Ovis aries: one gene and its partners. The protein of the gene in region 1 interacts with the protein of each later gene in a pairwise test. Links are inferred from orthologs where the notes say so. Each region holds a gene or a part of one and is shown on either strand. Other genes may lie near its edges. The genes, in order: ZNF410, TSGA10 and SERTAD1.

Region 1 (6,108 bases):
ATGTTAATGATAAAGTGGTAATGAGGACTGATCAAAGACATCAAGAACACAGAATGGTGAAGCCAGAATGAATTTCAGAAACTGTAACGTTCATCCTGGGCCTTCCTTCTTCTCTTCCTGGGATGTTCTGGGGTGCCCCATTCCTATGGCCCTGATTTTTATTCCAGTCACCTCCCCATTTCTCTGCAATCCTTCAGAGACAAATTTAAAGCCAATGATCTTCATGCTGCCAAATTCAATGGATACTTTACTGTTTTCATCTTACTTAAACTTTGCAAAGGACAACTATTATTTTTGATTGTTCCACATTCATTGCCCCTGTTTAGGTGACAGGATCCACATTTTGTTTGGGGATCTACCCCTCCCTCTCTGTATACATTCTTGGTGGGACTGTAGAATAAGGTGTTCTTTCCTATCTTAATCAACTGTTGGGCAGTCAACTGATTTGTTCATCAGATACTTTAACTTAGAACATGAACTCTAAAAGAAGTAACTAACTAAAAGGTGAAAACTGCTATAGCAACCTGTTCATTCCAGTACTGCAATCATCAGTCTTCCCCTGGGGATGCTCAGATTTCTGTCCTTTTCAAAGCCAGGGCCTTCAGCATTTCCTTTGATCCTGTGAGCTGCCCACATCCTTGTTATAAATTCCTCTTCTCCTCAAGTAAATTGGTCACTTGCAATCAGAGTCAGAACTGATATTTTCCCTTAGAAGCATTGCCTCCTTCCACAAACACTTTACTTACTCTCTTTTGCCTCTAAGATTCTCATTTTAATCCTACCTCATTGGCCACTCCTCCAGTCTTCTCTGATAACTCCTATATTCTTCCTCCACTCACCTTCTAAATACTAATGTTCCTCAGGAGTTTGCAGGCCCTCTTCTCTTACTACATTATATTCTCTTCCTAGTGTGAACACATGGCTTTAAATGACATGGTCTCCAAAATTTTAACCTATAGCCTAGATATCTCCTCTGAGCTACAAACTTGTACATATAATTGCTTATTTGACATCTCTACCTGATGTTATAATATCTCAAATTTAACATATTCAAAATGAATTCTCTTCCAACCCTGTTTCCCATTGTCCTCTGCCAGCCCCTCTGACCACAACCCTCGACACTCAAGGGAAGGCCATCATTCACCCCATTTAGAAGTTACTTTTATAACTTCTTTCCTTTGCTCCCAGTATGCAGTCCAGCTACAAGTCTGGACTTGAGTCTATCTCTAACCCACCTACTTCTACTGCCTCTACTCTACTCCAGGCCAACTCTTGCCTTAAAGTACCGTTACTGCCTCCTAACTGGTCTCCCTGCTTCTATTCTTTGCCTCCCTTCATTCTGTTCTCTTCGCATCATTCAATATCATCTTAAACTATGAATTTTCACATTTTCTTCATGTGGCTTCCCAATATATCTGGAAAATATCCAAAATCCTTATCCAGGCCTATAAGGACCTACATGATCCATTCCTGCCTCTCCAAAGACATTCCAGAGTTGTTCTCTATTACTTACTCACCAAGCTCCACCAAATGCCTCTCCCTTAGTTCCTTGAACACGTTTACCTCTTTCCTACGACAGTGATTTGCACGTGTCATTTCCTCTACCCAGGAATGCTTTCTCTTCTATTGGTTAGCTGTTTTTTCATTCTTCAGGGCTCTATTCAGCCATCAACTCACATAAAAAGGTTATGTATGCCTGATCACTTTATCCCAGGAAGGTTCCCCATAACCCCAGTTTTACTCTCTATCTATCCCTACTGTCTCCATTACAGCACCCATCACAATTTCTAATTCCTTTGTTTTTATATAGTATTCACTTTTTGTCTAGCTGTCATAAAAAAGGGCAAGCTTGTTTACAAATTGTAAGCTCCATAAACAAGGACAAGAACTTGTCTGTCTTGTTCACTACTTTATCTCCTAGCACCCAGAACCCATCACCTGGTGCCTGGCAGAGTACTGTATGTAATTCATAAGGAATTTAAGTCTCCAAGAGTCATTTTTGATACTATGAAGCTCCGAGACTGTCTTTTCTATGAGCTTTCAGGGCTTTTATGCAAGCTTCTCTGTAAGCAGCTAGTAGGCACTAAATAAACATTTGCATATTAAATGAACGACACCACAAATGATAACCAAATTTTTGTTGCTATTACTAACCTCTCTCTGAACTCCAAACTATTTCTAACTGCTTGCTAGGTATCCCCAAGTGGATGTTTATCTCAATTTTAACAATGTCCAAAATCCAGACTGTCATCTTCCCCACCAAACCTGTTCTTCTTCCCGTATTATCCATTTCAGTTATCGCCCAACGTTCCTCCCACTCAGCTACAAACTCTAGGTCTTGAACAATCTCTCTCATCCTCCAAATCTAAATAATCCCAGTGGTTCTGATTCCTCCAAATTTATTCCTACCAAAATGCACTGTTTAGGTTTTTCATTATCTTTCAACTCCAACATGAAAACAAGCTTCTAACTGGCCACCTTACCCTTAAAATTCCCCTTTCCAATCCATCTTTTATGCAGCCACTCGAGTTATCTTTCCAAAACACAGAGTTTATGTCACTTCCCTTGCCCAAAGTTCAGTGCCTCAGAATTAACAGTCAAATCCCTAAGCATGGCATTTTAAATATTCAACAGTATGTCCTCAAATACACTTTCAGTTAAAGCATCCACTATACTCAATGAATCCTTTTCTCCAGTACACACTGAACTGGCTACTAAATGAACACTCCAACCTATTTCAGTGTTCAAGATCTTTCCCTTGGGATAGTTCTTCAGTAATAAGACCCTCCAGTAATAAACGCTGCAATCCAGCTGTGATCTTTGAAATCCTTTCCTGTCTTCAAAATCTAACTCATATGCCATCCTCCATGAAGACTCATCTTTTCCCTCCAGTCAAAACAAATCTATCCTTCCCTGGTGTTGTCACAACACAGTTTAACCTCTCTTTAACAATTATCTCACCCTGCTTTGGGAGTTAGTTGTCTTTCAGCATGTTTTTCTCACTAGTTAAGGTTCACTGAATTTATTCATCCTCCCACTAACTCAGCACGGTGCTTGCACAAACTAAGCATTTAAGAAATATTTGCTGAATGAATAGGTAACCTTCATTTACAGGGGGTGTGGGTGGGGGTGTCAAAGCTAAAGATTAAGTAATTTGCAGAAAACGAGACCTCTACTTAGACGCAAAAATTTAAAGACTAGAACCTAAATCTTTTGAGCTTAGTTGACCTCACTATCTCATACGAAGACGGTGGAATTTTTCACTCCCTAACAATAACAAAATGCCCCTGGTTTTATTTTAAAATATTTCTTTCATCCTCTTTACAAATATGCTGCGTCGACCCTTGGGTCAAAATGAGGAGGAAGTACAAATTCTTAACTTCCAAGTTAATAATATTTAACTTTCAAATGAATCCTAAGTGCATTTCAGAGTCTCACGAGCAAGGGGGATAAACTTTAATAAACTAATTGAATTCTTTTCTCCGAAGAGACTTCAGAGGATAAATACAACCAGCGAAACGAATACAGGCGGTAAGCACTCACAGCCCCACACCCTCGCCTTCAAATGACACGCGAAAGAGAAGCCGGCGGCCCAGCCCCTCCGAGTCGGCAGTCTTTCTTCTTCTAGTCCCAGAAAGTGGACATATGGAAGAAGAGAGTAGATCTGGGGCTGAAATATCCAGGGCAGAGTCACCCTGGCATCATTGTTCCCCGACTACAACGGCCTAGTGAAGGGCCCCAAGGTTGGCGGGCGGGCCTCACTTGCGGGTGCTGTCTGGGAGCCCCCGCCCCGGGCACTCGCTGACTCTAGCTTTCTCAGGTCGGTCTTGTCCCCATATCCCTGGCCCCCAAACCAACTAAAGGAGCCGAAACACCGGCCCCAGAAGCCCTCGAGGAGAAAAGCCGAAGCCGTAGGGCTTCAGACCCGCCGCTCCAGATCCGGGTGGGGTGCCCCGGGGGCGGTTTCCCGGTCCTCTCCGGGGACAAAACTCGGCCCGCGCCCCCGAGAAGCCGGCACTGACTTCCTCCCTCTCGGAGACCACCCAGCCGAGCGGGTATGGTCGGGACCACCTCAGAACTCACCTTCCAGCCCCGGGCAGCAGTCCGTCCGTCAGTCGGTCCCGGATTCTGTCCACACAGAGCGTCTTCCGGCTCCTGCCGGAAGCAGTTCGAGCGCGGGACAGGAAGTTTGGCCGCCCCCACGCACACACCCACTCGCTTGCCTCCCAGCCCCGCGACTGTAGCGCCGAAGAGGGTTCCCGCCCGGTGGCCTCAGGCCTGCGCGGGCCAAGCTGGTGGCGCAGGGCTTGGCTCTGGAAGGGTAGGATCTGCACTCTCCCGCCTCCCACTCATTCCCTCTCGGCCTTTGTGGCTCCGTGGTCTGCGAAGCCCGAAAAAACGGGGTCAGTCAATTATAGTCGTGACGTCATTGCTTCCCTGCTGCAACGGACGGGGTAGTTTTTCCTGTCAGCTGAGATCAGTACAGGCTGCAGTGGAGGCAAGCGAGAAAGAAAAGATCACTACGTAAACATTTATCACAGTTCTCTGTGATCAGTGAAGAGGACTTTGAAGCTTAAGTGCCAGAGAAGGGAACTTCCAGAATAGTTCTGCACTGCATACCGGGCGGGGTAAAAAATTGAGACTCAGGTGTATAACTTTTTTTTGGAATGTGGATTCCTTAGTCTTCGTTCTGTCAGTACATTCGGATGTAAAGAGCTCTCGGATGTCCACAGGGGGCTAGAACCCTTGAGTTTCAGGCTGGATGCCACAACTTAGAGCTTTATGTGTCTGACTTGAGTTTTTGAGATTAGTAATTTTTGAATACTTGCTGGGTCCCAAAGGATGAAGGAGAGATTCAGCTAAGAGTGGTGTTCCAGCATGCTCAGCCGTGTCCAACTCTTTTGCGACCCCATGGACTGTAGCCCCACCAGGCTTCTCCAGGCAAGAATACTGGATTGGGTAGCCAGTTCCTTTGCCAGGGGATCTTCCCCACCCAGGGATCAAACCTGCATCTCTTGCATTAGCAGCCAGTTTCTTCACCACTGAGCCACCTGGGAATAAAAGGCATTTTCTAAGTAGGGCATTTTCAAGAATAGAGACAGAGTTGAAGAAACCAGTAATTTCCTACACAAAGGATGGTGATTTGAAAAGAAGCAACACCTTTCAAGGGAAGGTTCATTCCTCCCTAGATAAGCCGAGTTTATCTATCCCAGGTGCCTATGGGGTTCTTGTTCAGTTGCTCAGTTCTGTCAGACTCTGTGACCCCATGGCTGCCGGGCACCAGGCTTCCTGGTCCTTCACCATCTCCTGGAGTCCACTCAAACTCATGTCCATTGAGTCGGTGATGCCATCCAACCATCTCATCATCTGTTGTGCTCTTCTCCTTCTGCCTTCAATCTTTCCCAGCATCAGAGTCTTTTGCAATGAGTTGGCTCTTCACATCAGTATTAGAGCTTCAGCTTCAGCATCAGTCCTTCCAATGAATGTTCAGAGTTGATTTCCTTTAGGATTGATTGGTTTGATCTCTTTGCTGTCCAAGGGACTCTCAAGAGTCTTCCCCAGCACCACAGTTCGAAAGCATCAATTCTTCAGCACTCAGCCTTTTTTAATTGTCCAGCTCTCACATCCTTACATGACTACTAGAAAAACCATAGCTTTGACTATACAAACCTTTGTCGAAAGAGTAACATCTCTGCTTTTTAATATGCTGTCTAGGTTTGTCATAGCTTTTCTTCTAAGGAGCAAGCAGTATATTTACTTGGAAAGTGAAAGTGTTTGTCACTCAGTTGTGTCTGATTCTGCAATCCCATGGACTATAGCCTGCCAGGCTCCTCTGTCCATGGAATTCTCCAGGCAGAATACTGGAGTGGGTTACCATTCTCTTCTCCAGGGGAACTTCCTGACCCAGGGATCGAACCCAGGGTCTCTTGCATTGCAAGCAGATTCCTTACTGTCTGAGCCACCAGGGAAGGGCCTAGCTAGCTCAAGAGACTGGAAATAGAGATGAAGCTCTCTCTGGAGATGAAATAGAAAAGTATATACAACGGAAAGAACTGAAGGCCACTGAGGTCAACTGGAATGACTGATTACAACACAGTTCAAATCTAC
Region 2 (5,571 bases), on another chromosome or scaffold:
TGTCATCATACTCCACGGTTAAGAAAGATAAGGAGTAATCACACATTCCCTCTCTTGTATGGTCCTATGGAACACTTCACTTTTTGAAGGTTATCTTGAGCCTAAAATATATTCTGTAAGCCAAATGCTTCTCCAAAAGGAGGGAAACCAGACATCAGTATTTAGAAAAAAAAAAATTCTTTATCTCATAATGCACATTATAATAAATTATATATATATTTAAAAATTTAATGTAAAACTCTGAGAAAAGAAAGTTTAATAAAAATGAATTATTAGGAGAGGGGCAGGCAGGTAGGGTAACAACTTTTTAGACTAGATACAGTTAAAAATGATGTCTGACCATAGCAAAAATAAACATATCTACAGTCATTATAAACAACCAAAATTTGAGGGAAAAAAACAGATGAAAATAAACTCAGTAAATAGTTATAGCTTACTAATAAAAGGAATATAAACTAATTCATGAGAAATATGAATTAATGAACAGAAAATTTACAAAATATAGCCAGCTAATTAGTAAACATAGAGAATAATATATCTTGTATTAATAATCAAAGAAGCATAACTTAAAGCAAAATGGTATCTGTAATCCAGGATTTCTTCACCTTTACCCTACTGATCTTTTGTGCTGGGTAATTGTTTGGTATAGGGAGCTGCCCTGTGCCTTACAGGATACTGAGCAGCATCCCTGGCCTCTACTTACTAGAGGTCTACAGCACCCCTCAACCCTGGTGTGACATTCAAAAATACCTCCAGACGTTGCTGAATATTCAGAGGAGAAAAACCTCTTTCGGTTGAACCAATGCTGCAGTTTATTAAATTGGCAAATGTCTTAATGCGTGTTGATTAACATTAAAATAGGCAATGCTGGCGGAATACAAAATGGAGCATCACTTTTTTGGCAGCAGCTTCATTGGGATGTAATTCACATACCATACAACTTGCCCATTTAAATTAGGTACAAGTCAATGGTTTTTAGTATACTGGGTTGACCAAAAAGTCTGTTTGAGTTTTTCTGTAACACCCCTTATGGAAAAACTCAAACTCTTCGGCCAACACAGTATTAACAGAGTTATGTGATCATACCACATTCTCATAGTTTATTGTTAGAACATTTTCATCATCCCAAAATGGAACCCAGTACACATTAGCAGTCACTCCCTTACCTCTGCCCCAGCACTAGCCCTAGGCAATAACTCATCTATTTTCTATGATCTGCTTTATTTTGAACATTTCACATAAATGGAAACATACTGTGTGTGTGTGTGTGTGTGGTGTGTGTGTGTGTGTGTGGTCTTACATGACTGACTTCCTTCACTTAGTGTAATGTTTTCAAGAGTTCTCCATGTTTTAGCAGCTATCAATCCTTCATTACTGCTACTGCCAAATAATATTCCCTTGCATAGATGTAGGAATATTTGAGTTATTTACACTTCTTAGCAATTATGAAGAATGCTGCTAAGGACAATTGTGTATCCGTTTTTACATGGAACTTCTTACAGAAGCCAACAAGACACATCATTCTCGAATGCATCATATCATCCTAACAAGCAGTAGGCTAACAAAATAAGGAGTTCAACACAGTGTGATAATAACAGAAATGTAAACGTAGCCAAAACGTGTTGATATTTCAATTATACTATGCAACTTTAACATACATCCTTTTAGGATTCAGGTCCCATCTATTTCTTCAGATGCATCTCAGTCACTTGTGCATGCTACACTGGCCACTGCAAATGACTTACTGCTCACTCCAGAGTTTATTTATACCTCCATACCATTGCCTAAGCTATTCCCTCATTCCTTTTGAGTTCAGTAGTACACCCTTATGAACTCCTCTCCGACACCCACAGGCCAATGGGAATTTCCTCTCTGAAACCTTCAGCATTTCTTATTAGTATCACATTCACCCCAAATTATTTGTATGTCAATACCAGGAGGTCTTTGAGAGAGGGGGACTGTACCTTTTGAGCATTATATTCACATGGCAAGCATGATGGCAGGCATCAGGCACACGACAGATAAAATGAAGTGAATTACAGTTGAAAAGAACTCAGCCAAACAGTAAATTTAACTTTAAACAATATCATTAAAATTATAATTTAGCTAGATAAACCTCAACCTTGCGGTTCTTTGCTGACTGATATGTCAGTGTGCTTTATCATTCTTTTGACTAAAAGTAAATGCAGAGCACACAAAGGAAGAGTCTCTGTTATGGTCCTGAATGGTTTGCAACACAACAGAAATCAATATCCTGGACTTTAAAAATAAAATCTAAAGTTGAAAGACATACCTTTGCTGTAGCATTTTGTTTTAAAAAAAAAAGTTTGTTTTCCTAAAATAACAAAAATTTTACAGTGATAGCATTATTAAAAGAACCATTTAGAAATGTATGACGTACCATTTCTATCTCTTGATCTTTAGCAACCAGCTGTCGATTAAGAAGTTCTTTGCTTGAGTCAAGTTTAATGCAAAGTTCCCTTGTAGAAGACAAATCTGCAAGGGCAGACACTTTTTCAAACTGAACCTTCTGAAGCTCCTCTTCCATCTTTACAACAGACTTATGTAAAGTAGCAATCTGGGACTTGTAAGACCGTTCTGCATTTAAGTGCTGCAAGGACAAATTATTATATATTTTTTAATGTGGGAAAAACCCACGACACAGAAAACAAAGCGAGGCAAATCTTTTAATGACAGTACTTTTAGATTACAAGGAACTTTCTCTCTCTCTTTTTTTTTTTTTTTTTTGCTTTGCCAAACAGCACGTGGGATCTTAATTCCCCAACCTGGGATCAAACCCATACCTCCTGCAGTGGAAGCATGTATCCTGAACCATGGGACAGGGAATGGTAAAGGACATTCCATGAAGTGGTAAAGGACAGGGAAGTCCCTATAAAGAACTATAGTTGATATAGATGGTAAGAGCACGTACAAAACATTCTGGGAAAGATAAATTCCGGTTTCAAATTTTCATATACAAAATCCATGAGTAAAGTGGTCAGCTGATCATTCTTTTTAATGTACTGAGAAAACAACTTAGAAGTCTCAGCCCCAAAGCTAGTTGAGATATATATATATCTTTGTAGTTCTGTCTATATTTGCCACAGTTACAATTATTCTATAATGTAAATATTGTTGCTATTAAAGATAAAACATTAGCCACTCTTTCATTCACTATGCCTACTTCTCCATTCTTGAATTACATGCTGATATGGATCATAATTTCATAAAATGAGGACTGATAACTCTCTAACACTTACTAATACCTCTGAGGGAAAAAGACTGGATAACTATAAATTAAGGATATATCCATATTAGATAAAATGAGAGCATGTTTTAAACACTGTAATATGAGATTCAAGTTATATAAATGCTTTCAAATATTCAAGATAATCCCCCCCTTTTTTTCAGAAAAAGTTCTTATGTAAGTGCACTGCCACCTACAGAGAAGTATTTGCTATTATATGAGGCTAAGAGAACTAAGAGGCAAGCAAAGAAATTTTTCTGATTTTATAAGTGTTTTCACAAGTACAACACACAAAAAATTGCTCCTGGAATAAGTTATTTGGCCAAAATACACTCCTTTCTCCTCTCCTTCCTTCCTCACTCATACAATTACTCACACATTCTTCAAACAAACTTCTATCCATCCATCCACCCTACTCATCCACCTATCCATCCATTCCATACATACTTTTTATGTATATTCTATGTTCCAACAATGTGCCTAGATGCATAGCCAATGGTAATGGTCTTTGTTCTCATGAGGCTTCCAGACTATGGGGGAATCACAGTCAATAAGATAATCATAAAGATGAATATGTAGATACAGATTAGGCAAACATTCTAGAGAAAAAAACTGTAACACAGGGAAGGGACCTAGACTGAGAGGATCAGGGAAGTCAAGAAAGCCTTCTCTGAGTTAATGGCACTTGAACCGAGATCTGAAAAGCAAATGGATACACAATGTGTGAGGGGAAGGTGGCTTTTCAAGTTGGAGGATGCCAAGTGTGAAGCAAGAGCAGAGAAAAGGCTCCTTCCTATGTCTCGAGCTCAGAGACCACAGAAAAGAGTGAAAAGAGACACAGTTGAAAACACATACAACTTACAAAACAAAGCCTGGTAACCCAGGTATCAACAAAATCTAGGTCTTTACCTCCACTGAAAGATATTACAGAGGAGGTTATTGCGATCAGTTTTGAAAAGAATGTATGGAATGTTTCAGGTTCTAGTAAAATTGCTGATTAAGCTAAGAGGAAAATCTTCTGGATGAAATAGAATAAAAAATTATTTTTGCAATTTATAGCTGAACTTGTAGGTAAGAAAGAGAAATTCTCACATGCCAAAAACAAAGAAAATGAGTCAAGATCAGCTGGTAACAAATGTGCCAAAGCTAGGGACAAAGTTTGAGCCTGTGAAAGTGAAAAGTTCTTAGTGAACACCCTGGTGGTTCATTGTTTAGTTGCTAAGTCGTGGCCGACTGTGCAACCCCGTGGACTATAGCACACCAGGCTTTCCTGTCCTTTATTATCTCCTGGAGTTTGCTCAGATTCACGTCCGTTGAGTCGGTGATGTTATCTAACCATCTCATCTTCTGCCACCCTCTTCTCCTTTTGCCTCCAACCTTTCCCAGCATCAGGGTCTTTTCCAATGAGTAAGCTCTTTGCATTAGGTGGCCAAAGTATTGGAGCTTCACCATCAGTCCTTCCAATGAATATTCAGGCTTGACTGCCTTGAGGATTGACTGCTTTGATCTCCTTGCAGTCCAAGGGACTCTCAAGAGTCTTCTCCAATACAACAGTTTGAAAGCATCAATTCTTTAGCACTCAGCCTTCTTTATGGTCCGCATCTCACATCCATACATGACTACTGGGAAAACCATAGCTTTGATTATTCGGACCTTTGTTGGAAAAGTGATGTCTTTGCTTTTTAATGTGCTGTCTAGATTTGTCACAGTTTTCCTTCCAAGGAGCAAGAGTCTTTGAATTTCATGGCTGCAGTCACTGTTCACAGTGATTTTGGAACCAAATAAAATAAAATCTGCCCTTGTTTCCATTTTTTCCTCCTCTATTTGGCATGAAGTGATGGGACTGGATGCCATGATCTCAGTTTTTTTTAAGTTGAGTTTTAAGTCAGCTTTTTCACTCTCTTCTTTCACCCTCATTAAGAAACTCTTTAGTGTAGAACACCCTGGACTGGGCATTTAATAGAGAATCTGGAAGGGTCACAACTTAGGGGTGAGGCTAAACTAGTCTTACAGGAAAGGCTACTTAAGATCTGCCCTACCAAAGCTTAAAAACAATCTTGAAAGTATTAGTTGATATTCAAGTAATTTAAGAGCCTGCCAAAACAAATCCAACGCTCTCTAAAGGAAAACAACAAAATTTAACATTCAACAAAGTAAAATCCACAACGTCCAGCATTCAGTTTAAAAATATATATATATCAGACATGTAAAGATACAGGAATAGTGATCCACGAGCATCAAAATTAGTTGATGTAAACAGATGGAAAATGACAAAAGATGGTATTAGCAGACAAGGGCCTTAAAACAGCTATTATCTAGACAAG
Region 3 (6,308 bases), on another chromosome or scaffold:
GCGCCCCTCCCCCGCCTGCCTCCGCCCTCCCCCGATGCCGCGTTCCCCGTGCCCCTCCCCCCTCCGGTACCCCGGGCGCGGCCCTGCCCCCACGGCCGCCAGGAAGGACGCCGCCTGGGTCCCGTGCCAGGCCTCTGAGTGTGCGGCCCCTCCCAGCCGGGCCAGGAATGCGGCTGGACGGCGGGGGCGGCGCAGACACCCGGCGCTCAGGCCGGCCCTATCGCACAGGCCTGTCAGGCAGGTGGCCCCAGCCCGCTGGGGCTCCGAGTTTCTTCTAGAACGAAAGCAGGATCCCTTGCCGTTCTTTCTGTCAAGCCACCACACTTAGTGGCTTTATTTCGGAATCGGCTTCCGGAAGCTGCCTTATCCCTAGCCCAAAGAGAGATTTGAGACCTGGAGTGGATTTTGTTTAAAACTTCCTGGAGTCTTTCTTTCACCATTTTCCCAGAGAACTGGTTCTCTGCGCTCAGAGGAGAGGCTGCATCCAGCCTTCAGCTTTGTGCTTTTATTTCTGGTTCATTCTGAAAGCTCCTTCTGCACCCCCAACTCCAAGACACGCAGGTAGACTCCAGGCAAGGTCTAGATTTCATTTTTCAACAGTGGCCTGGGGCTCCTCCTCCTCCACCACCACCCACCACCATTAGGTACACACACAGGCACATGGGGAGACCTGACTGAGTATATTCCAGAAGTTTTCTAGAGAGCCAGTTTCCAGACCTAATTGGTCTGCTTCTCAGACCAAAAAACAGTAAAGTTTGAAACTTATCTCCCTAAGAGTTGACTTCTTGGATCCTCAGTTTTCTCAACTGTAAAATGAGGATAATGACATGCCCATCTTGTTATGAGGATTAAATCAGCACACGTCAAGTGCTTAGAACTTGCTGCGTGCACAGTCCTCGCTTGATAAATGCTAGAGGTTTTCTACCACCCTCACCAGTGCCTTGGCCCAGAAACAAAGCAGTACACACACTTCAGACTTTCCAGGACTGGCTTTAATTTCAAAAAACAGGTTGGGGTCTCTTCCCCCATCGACGCAAATGTATACCAGGCTGTGCCTCCAGGGATTCAGCACAGGACCTAGTCCAATCACATTCCAGCCACCAGGCCCTGTCATTTCATCACAAGGGCCAATCCCAGACTCCCCTCCCCATCAGTCAGAGACAAGAGGATGGAGGTGAAGTTGCCCAGGACTGGATTCTTTCTCTCCAAAGCCCCTCTCAAGGGAAGCCAGCTGTGTCTTTCCAAGGAGAGTTGGTCCAGCCAGCAGGCTCAGTTTGGACATCAGATCAACATCCCGGCCCAGAGGGGTCAACGCCCTGGCCCCGGTGGTCGCTCCAGCGCCTGTGTGCCCACCAGCACGTCCATGAGGTAGTCCAGCTCGGCCTCGTCCAGATCTGGACCTACCTCCTTGCCTGGTCCATCTTCAGGGCTGGATTTGTGGCCCTCAGAGACTGGTGCCCAGAGTTCACTGTCATACATGGACGTGTCAATGTCCTCAAACAGGCCCTCGAGCCCATCGTCCAGCAGACAGCCAGTGGCTGGGCCCAGCAGGTCCAAGGCGCCCAGGCTGGGTGAGGCTCCCCCGGCAGGGCGGCCTAGTGGCCCCTCATCTACCAGGGGCTGTGGGGCCTGGCTCAGGCCCTCAATATGGCTGAGGTCCTCCAGAAGGCTGGCCATGGAGGCTGAGAGGGCAGCATCAGAGCTGGCCAGCAGGTTGTCAGCCACGCTGGGGGCTGTAGGTGGGGTGGGCACAGGTGGCAGGGCAGCCGTGGGTGCCATGGATGCCTGGATTCGCCGCAGTGTGTTCACTACCAGCACCAGGTGCCGCAGGTCCGGCTCACTCTGCCGCAGGCTGTGATGGAGCTTGAGCACCGAAAGGTCAAAGAGAGAACTGGAGGCTACAGCTGGGGGTGCCTGAGCTACTGCTGAGTGGCTGGGATCCAGCCACCAGGCGTCCACTGCCAGGGTTTCCTTCTCCTCCTCCTCCTCCTCCTCCCGCTTTCGCTTCAGGCCCTTGCTCAGCATCATCTGTGGGAAGAGTCATTCAGTTATGGAAAGCCAGTGTGAAGTTCTGACCATTGCTGTGTGATCTTGGGCAAAGCACTTAACCTCTCTGAGCCTACGTTTTCTTGGGGAAGCTTTAAGACATTGATGATAATTGTATCTACTTCCTAGAGTTGTTTTAAGGAATAAATGAGATTTTAAAAAGCACTTTGGACAGTGTCTGGTACACAGCAATTACTCCTGTAAATAAGTACTATTGATAATAACTATTATCTATTTCTTCAATGAACTATGTGAAATGGCTAACATGAAGAGTCCAGTGTGAAATGTCCAATATTCAACTTTTTTTTTAAAACCTACAAAAGCAGTTGTTTCACATGGTTTAATCTAATATTTACTGAGTGTCTACTAATAGCATCAGACAATAAACAAACACAAGAAATGTACGGATGGTGCTAGGAAGATGCTAAAAGTTTCTGGAGAGTGGTCAGGGAAGGCTCCCCTGAGGAGGTGACATCTGAAATGAGCCCTCAAGTACGAGAAAGAATCAGCCATGGAAGAACCAGGGGGAAGGCATTCTGGGAATAAAGAACAGCAAAGGCAAAGAAAAGCCTAGAGACTGGATGAGTCTGAGCTGAAAAAGGACTCTGTAGTCAGTGCGGGGGTTGGGGGTTGAGGGTGGAGTACGGAGGATGTGGGGGTTCGAGAGTAGGCAGAGGCAAGGAGCTTGGATTTTATTGGGGGGTGTGGTGGGAAGCCACTGAAGGGGTTTGAGCAGGGAGGACAGTGGTGTTGTGGACTGATTAGGTTTCCAGAAGATCCCCTTGGCTGCTAAGAGGAAGGGGGAGCGAGGAGGGGAGGGGAGAGCGGCCCTGAGATCCTTTCGGAGGCTACTGCAGTCTTTGGGGTAGGCGAAGACGGTGACTTGGGAGCATAAGGTGGCAGTGGGCATGGAAGGAAGATGGTCGCTTCAGGATTTATTTGAGAGACAGCGTGGACAAAGCTTGCCGGAAAATCCTGATGGGCACGGGGGTCACGGAGAGAAGTTTGAAGACCCACACTTTCCCCGGGGTGGGTGCCCCTGACCCAACCTGCTTTTTTTAAGCCAGGCAGCCTGTAGGGTATAGCACCCAGATCCTTGCCCAGGAGAACTTCAAGAGTGACCCTCTCACACTACTCAAAACTGGGTCCTCGCCTCCTTCCCAGCAAATCCGAGAGTCCGGAACCGCAGGAATTCAGCCCCCACTCCCGACTCCGCCCCTCTGGCCCCGGCGCCCCCTGGCGGAGCCAGGCCGGCTTTCCCCGGGGATTCCGACTCTCCAGACCCCAGGACTCTTTACAGTGCCCCGCGGGACGTGGTCATTTCTGCTTGCCACCAGGGACCGTGCGGGCCGGGATCCCCGGAGGGCCGTTCTGCCCTCTCGGCCTCCGCTCGCTTCCGGAAGGCAGTGGAGGCTACTCCTCCCGAAGCGGCGGCGGCGGCGGGGGCGGGTGAGTCACGCAGCCGGAGCCAGGGAGCCGGCGCCTCCGCCCCCTTCCCGGGCTGCGGTGTGATTCACCCGCCAGGCCCGGGCGGGCGGCACGGAGAGGCCCGTGCGCCTCGATCCCGGACAGCCCTGGCGCGCACCTGCCGGACCGGGGGATCGAACCTGCCAAAGAACCCCGCGGCCAGTACCCCTCTTTCCCCAGGCCTCTTCCCTTCATTTACATACCTAGTTCACCAGCTGCCAATCAGAAAGAAGAGGGAGCCACCCGCAGCCAATCAGGAAGCGGTGGCGGCAGCATTGCTCGCCCGCTCTGCTTCAGCAACCGGCACCTGGGTTGAGAGACGCAGTTCTGACTCCAGCTCACGACTCCCGGCTCCTGACTCCCCTTAGTTACCGCCCACTCCCGTGGCAGCCCCACCCTTCACCCAGGGATTGGTCCTAGACGGTGATGGGCGGAGCCTGTACAAAGCAGGCTAGAAAGAGGCGAGTTGTCTTTAGGGCGCATGTCCGGGAGGCTGCTTGAAGGGAGGGAGGAAGATAGGGTGGCTCTTGGCCCTGTAGGACGGTGGCGCGGTGGAGTTTTTGTCTCTCAAGCTGTGGGCCCCCTCACATCTGGCCACATCTGCATCACATCTGCACTTGTCAAACCCAATAATTGAGCTTACGCTAGCAGCCCCAACAGAGGTCTACACTCTAGGCCAGCTTAGTCCTGGATTCAAATTCTGGTTTTTGAGCCCACAGAGTCTGTTAAAGGGGGATCTTTTTGCCTACCTCTTGAGAGTTGGGAAACTTCAAGTAAGGTATTATCTGTAAGAGCACTATATAAGCAAATTCTGGGTAGTTGGACTCTGTCCTGTGATTACAGACAGGAGTTAGGGGTAGGGAGTGGAATGGCACTGGAGTCCCTTCCTGGGCTCCATTCCGTAAGTACAATAGCTGTGTGACCTTGACCAAGTGCTTTAATTCTTTAGGTTTTCTCACTTATTTTTAAAATGAGAGAAATAGCCTCTGACGCAGAGGATTGTTTTGAGGATTAAACAATTCCTGCACAATGCTGAGTGGTGTGTTAGGTGTCTTTTTTCATTAGTAATGGCTGTTGTAGTAATACCACAGGTGCTCAGTTCAAGGGGAGACATTCACGGTGGGGTGCACGTGGACAGGAGTTTAATACACGTCAGATAAACTGACAATGGGACTTACCTTCTTCAAATACCTCATTTGCTAATTCCTCATTCGCTAAGGGGAAGAACTGTTTGTGAATAAATCTTCTGACCAAAGTAAGCTATCAAAAATGCTAACTCAACTACGTGATTCAGACAACCATTTTCAATAGATGCTCACCCTTTGGGGTGAAAGTTAATGGGGAACAGGATCTCGACAGTTTCCAAAGCATCATCCCACAAATTCCTTGCTAACTGCAAAGGGGGAAATATCCTTTTATGATGGGAAGAGGAGGAGCTCAGCACCTTAACTATATAATGAAACTTTGCATCCACAGCTGCAGGATGCCCGGACACTGGGTGGTGCCTGACGTGATGCATTAGGCAGTACACAACCTTCGTTGTGGAGCTTCCCTGTTACATTTCATAAAGTGAGTCTCAAGTGTCTAGGCCCAAACTTCAGCATACAGGGAACAGAGAGCGACAATATTAAACACAAAAACAGTCAGACAAATACACAGTGTGGGAAGTCTACAGCAAGGCTGGGTTGTTCTTCCAAAAATCCAACTTCAAGAAACCACAGAAAGGGATTAGTGAGGTTAGGGGGTGGATGTTCCAGAATAAAAGATACTGTATAATTTCTTTGTTACAACCAAATAGGCATGTGAACCTCCCTTAGACTCTGCTGCTGCTGCTGCTGCTGCTAAGTCGCTTCAGTCGTGTCGGACTCTGTGTGACCCCATAGACGGCAGCCCACCAGGCTCCTCTATCCCTGGGATTCTCCAGGCAAGAATACTGGAGCGGGTTGCCGTTTCCTTCTCCAATGCATGAAAGTGAAAAGTGAAAGTGACTCTAGTTTGTGGTAAATTCTACAAAGGGTGTTCTTGAGAAAATTGGGCAGATTTGAATATAGGTTGGATACTAGGTGATATTCTGAAATTCTTAATTCTGTCACATGTGAAATAGGACTGTGGTTTGTAGTTGATCGTCCTTAATCTTAAGAGATGCCTGCTGAGCTATTAGAGGTACAACATTCAGATGTCTGCAATATACTCTCCAGTGGTTCAGCAAAAGAAAAAAACAGACACATATACATACACATATTCAAATAAAGGAAACAGAATGTTAACAACTAAATCTAGGTGAGAGGGTATTCAAGTGCTCAGAAGACATACTTTTTTTTCTTTCTTTTTTTTTTGTGCTTGAAATTTTTCAAAATGAATGAAGGGTAAAATGCTAATTAGAACCAGGCCCCTGTTAGGCAAACTCACATAATTATCTTTTTGGCCTGGAAAAAAGAGACTCAGAGTCTCCATCCAAGTGGCTCTTTCCAGGTCATAAAGAGAAGAAGAGCTCATAGGCATCTGATTAGTGTGTGTTTATTGAGCACCTAATATGTGGTGGGCAGTTGTAGACAATGGGGGCACAGCACTTGATACGCCTCACAGAGTCTCTCTTCTCATGGAACAAGGAATGGATGGAGTGGAAAGAGAAAAGAAGTATGAAAACAAATGAATTGAGCACTTTCCATGTGCCAGGCACTGAAGATATGGCTGGAACATTAGAAACAAAAATCCCTGATGTCAGGAGGTGGACAATAAACTGAATAAAGCAATGATTTAGTATCTTAGAGGGTGATAAGTGAAAAGGAAAAGCA

What was found.
Region 2: the proteins of ZNF410 (region 1) and TSGA10 interact in binary tests that used the Homo sapiens proteins (3 or more experiments, as listed by UniProt). The two-hybrid records come from large-scale screens. The link is inferred for Ovis aries from reciprocal best matches to the Homo sapiens genes ZNF410 and TSGA10.
Region 3: the proteins of ZNF410 (region 1) and SERTAD1 interact in binary tests that used the Homo sapiens proteins (3 or more experiments, as listed by UniProt). The two-hybrid records come from large-scale screens. The link is inferred for Ovis aries from reciprocal best matches to the Homo sapiens genes ZNF410 and SERTAD1.

The regions. Positions count from the first base shown.
Region 1 is NC_056060.1:83,364,423-83,370,530, reverse strand, and holds the start of ZNF410 (zinc finger protein 410), read right to left. Parts: upstream 4,139-6,108; 5' UTR 4,084-4,138; intron 1-4,083. UniProt on the Homo sapiens protein: Transcription factor that binds to the sequence motif 5'-CATCCCATAATA-3', and is specifically required to silence expression of fetal hemoglobin in adult erythroid cells.
Region 2 is NC_056056.1:102,254,140-102,259,710, reverse strand, and holds part of TSGA10 (testis-specific gene 10 protein), read right to left. Parts: intron 2,612-5,571; coding exon 2,402-2,611; intron 1-2,401. UniProt on the Homo sapiens protein: Plays a role in spermatogenesis. When overexpressed, prevents nuclear localization of HIF1A.
Region 3 is NC_056067.1:49,177,373-49,183,680, forward strand, and holds SERTAD1 (SERTA domain-containing protein 1), read right to left. Parts: upstream 3,843-6,308; 5' UTR 3,717-3,842; intron 2,029-3,716; coding exon 1,309-2,028; 3' UTR 975-1,308; downstream 1-974. UniProt on the Homo sapiens protein: Acts at E2F-responsive promoters as coregulator to integrate signals provided by PHD- and/or bromodomain-containing transcription factors. Stimulates E2F1/TFDP1 transcriptional activity.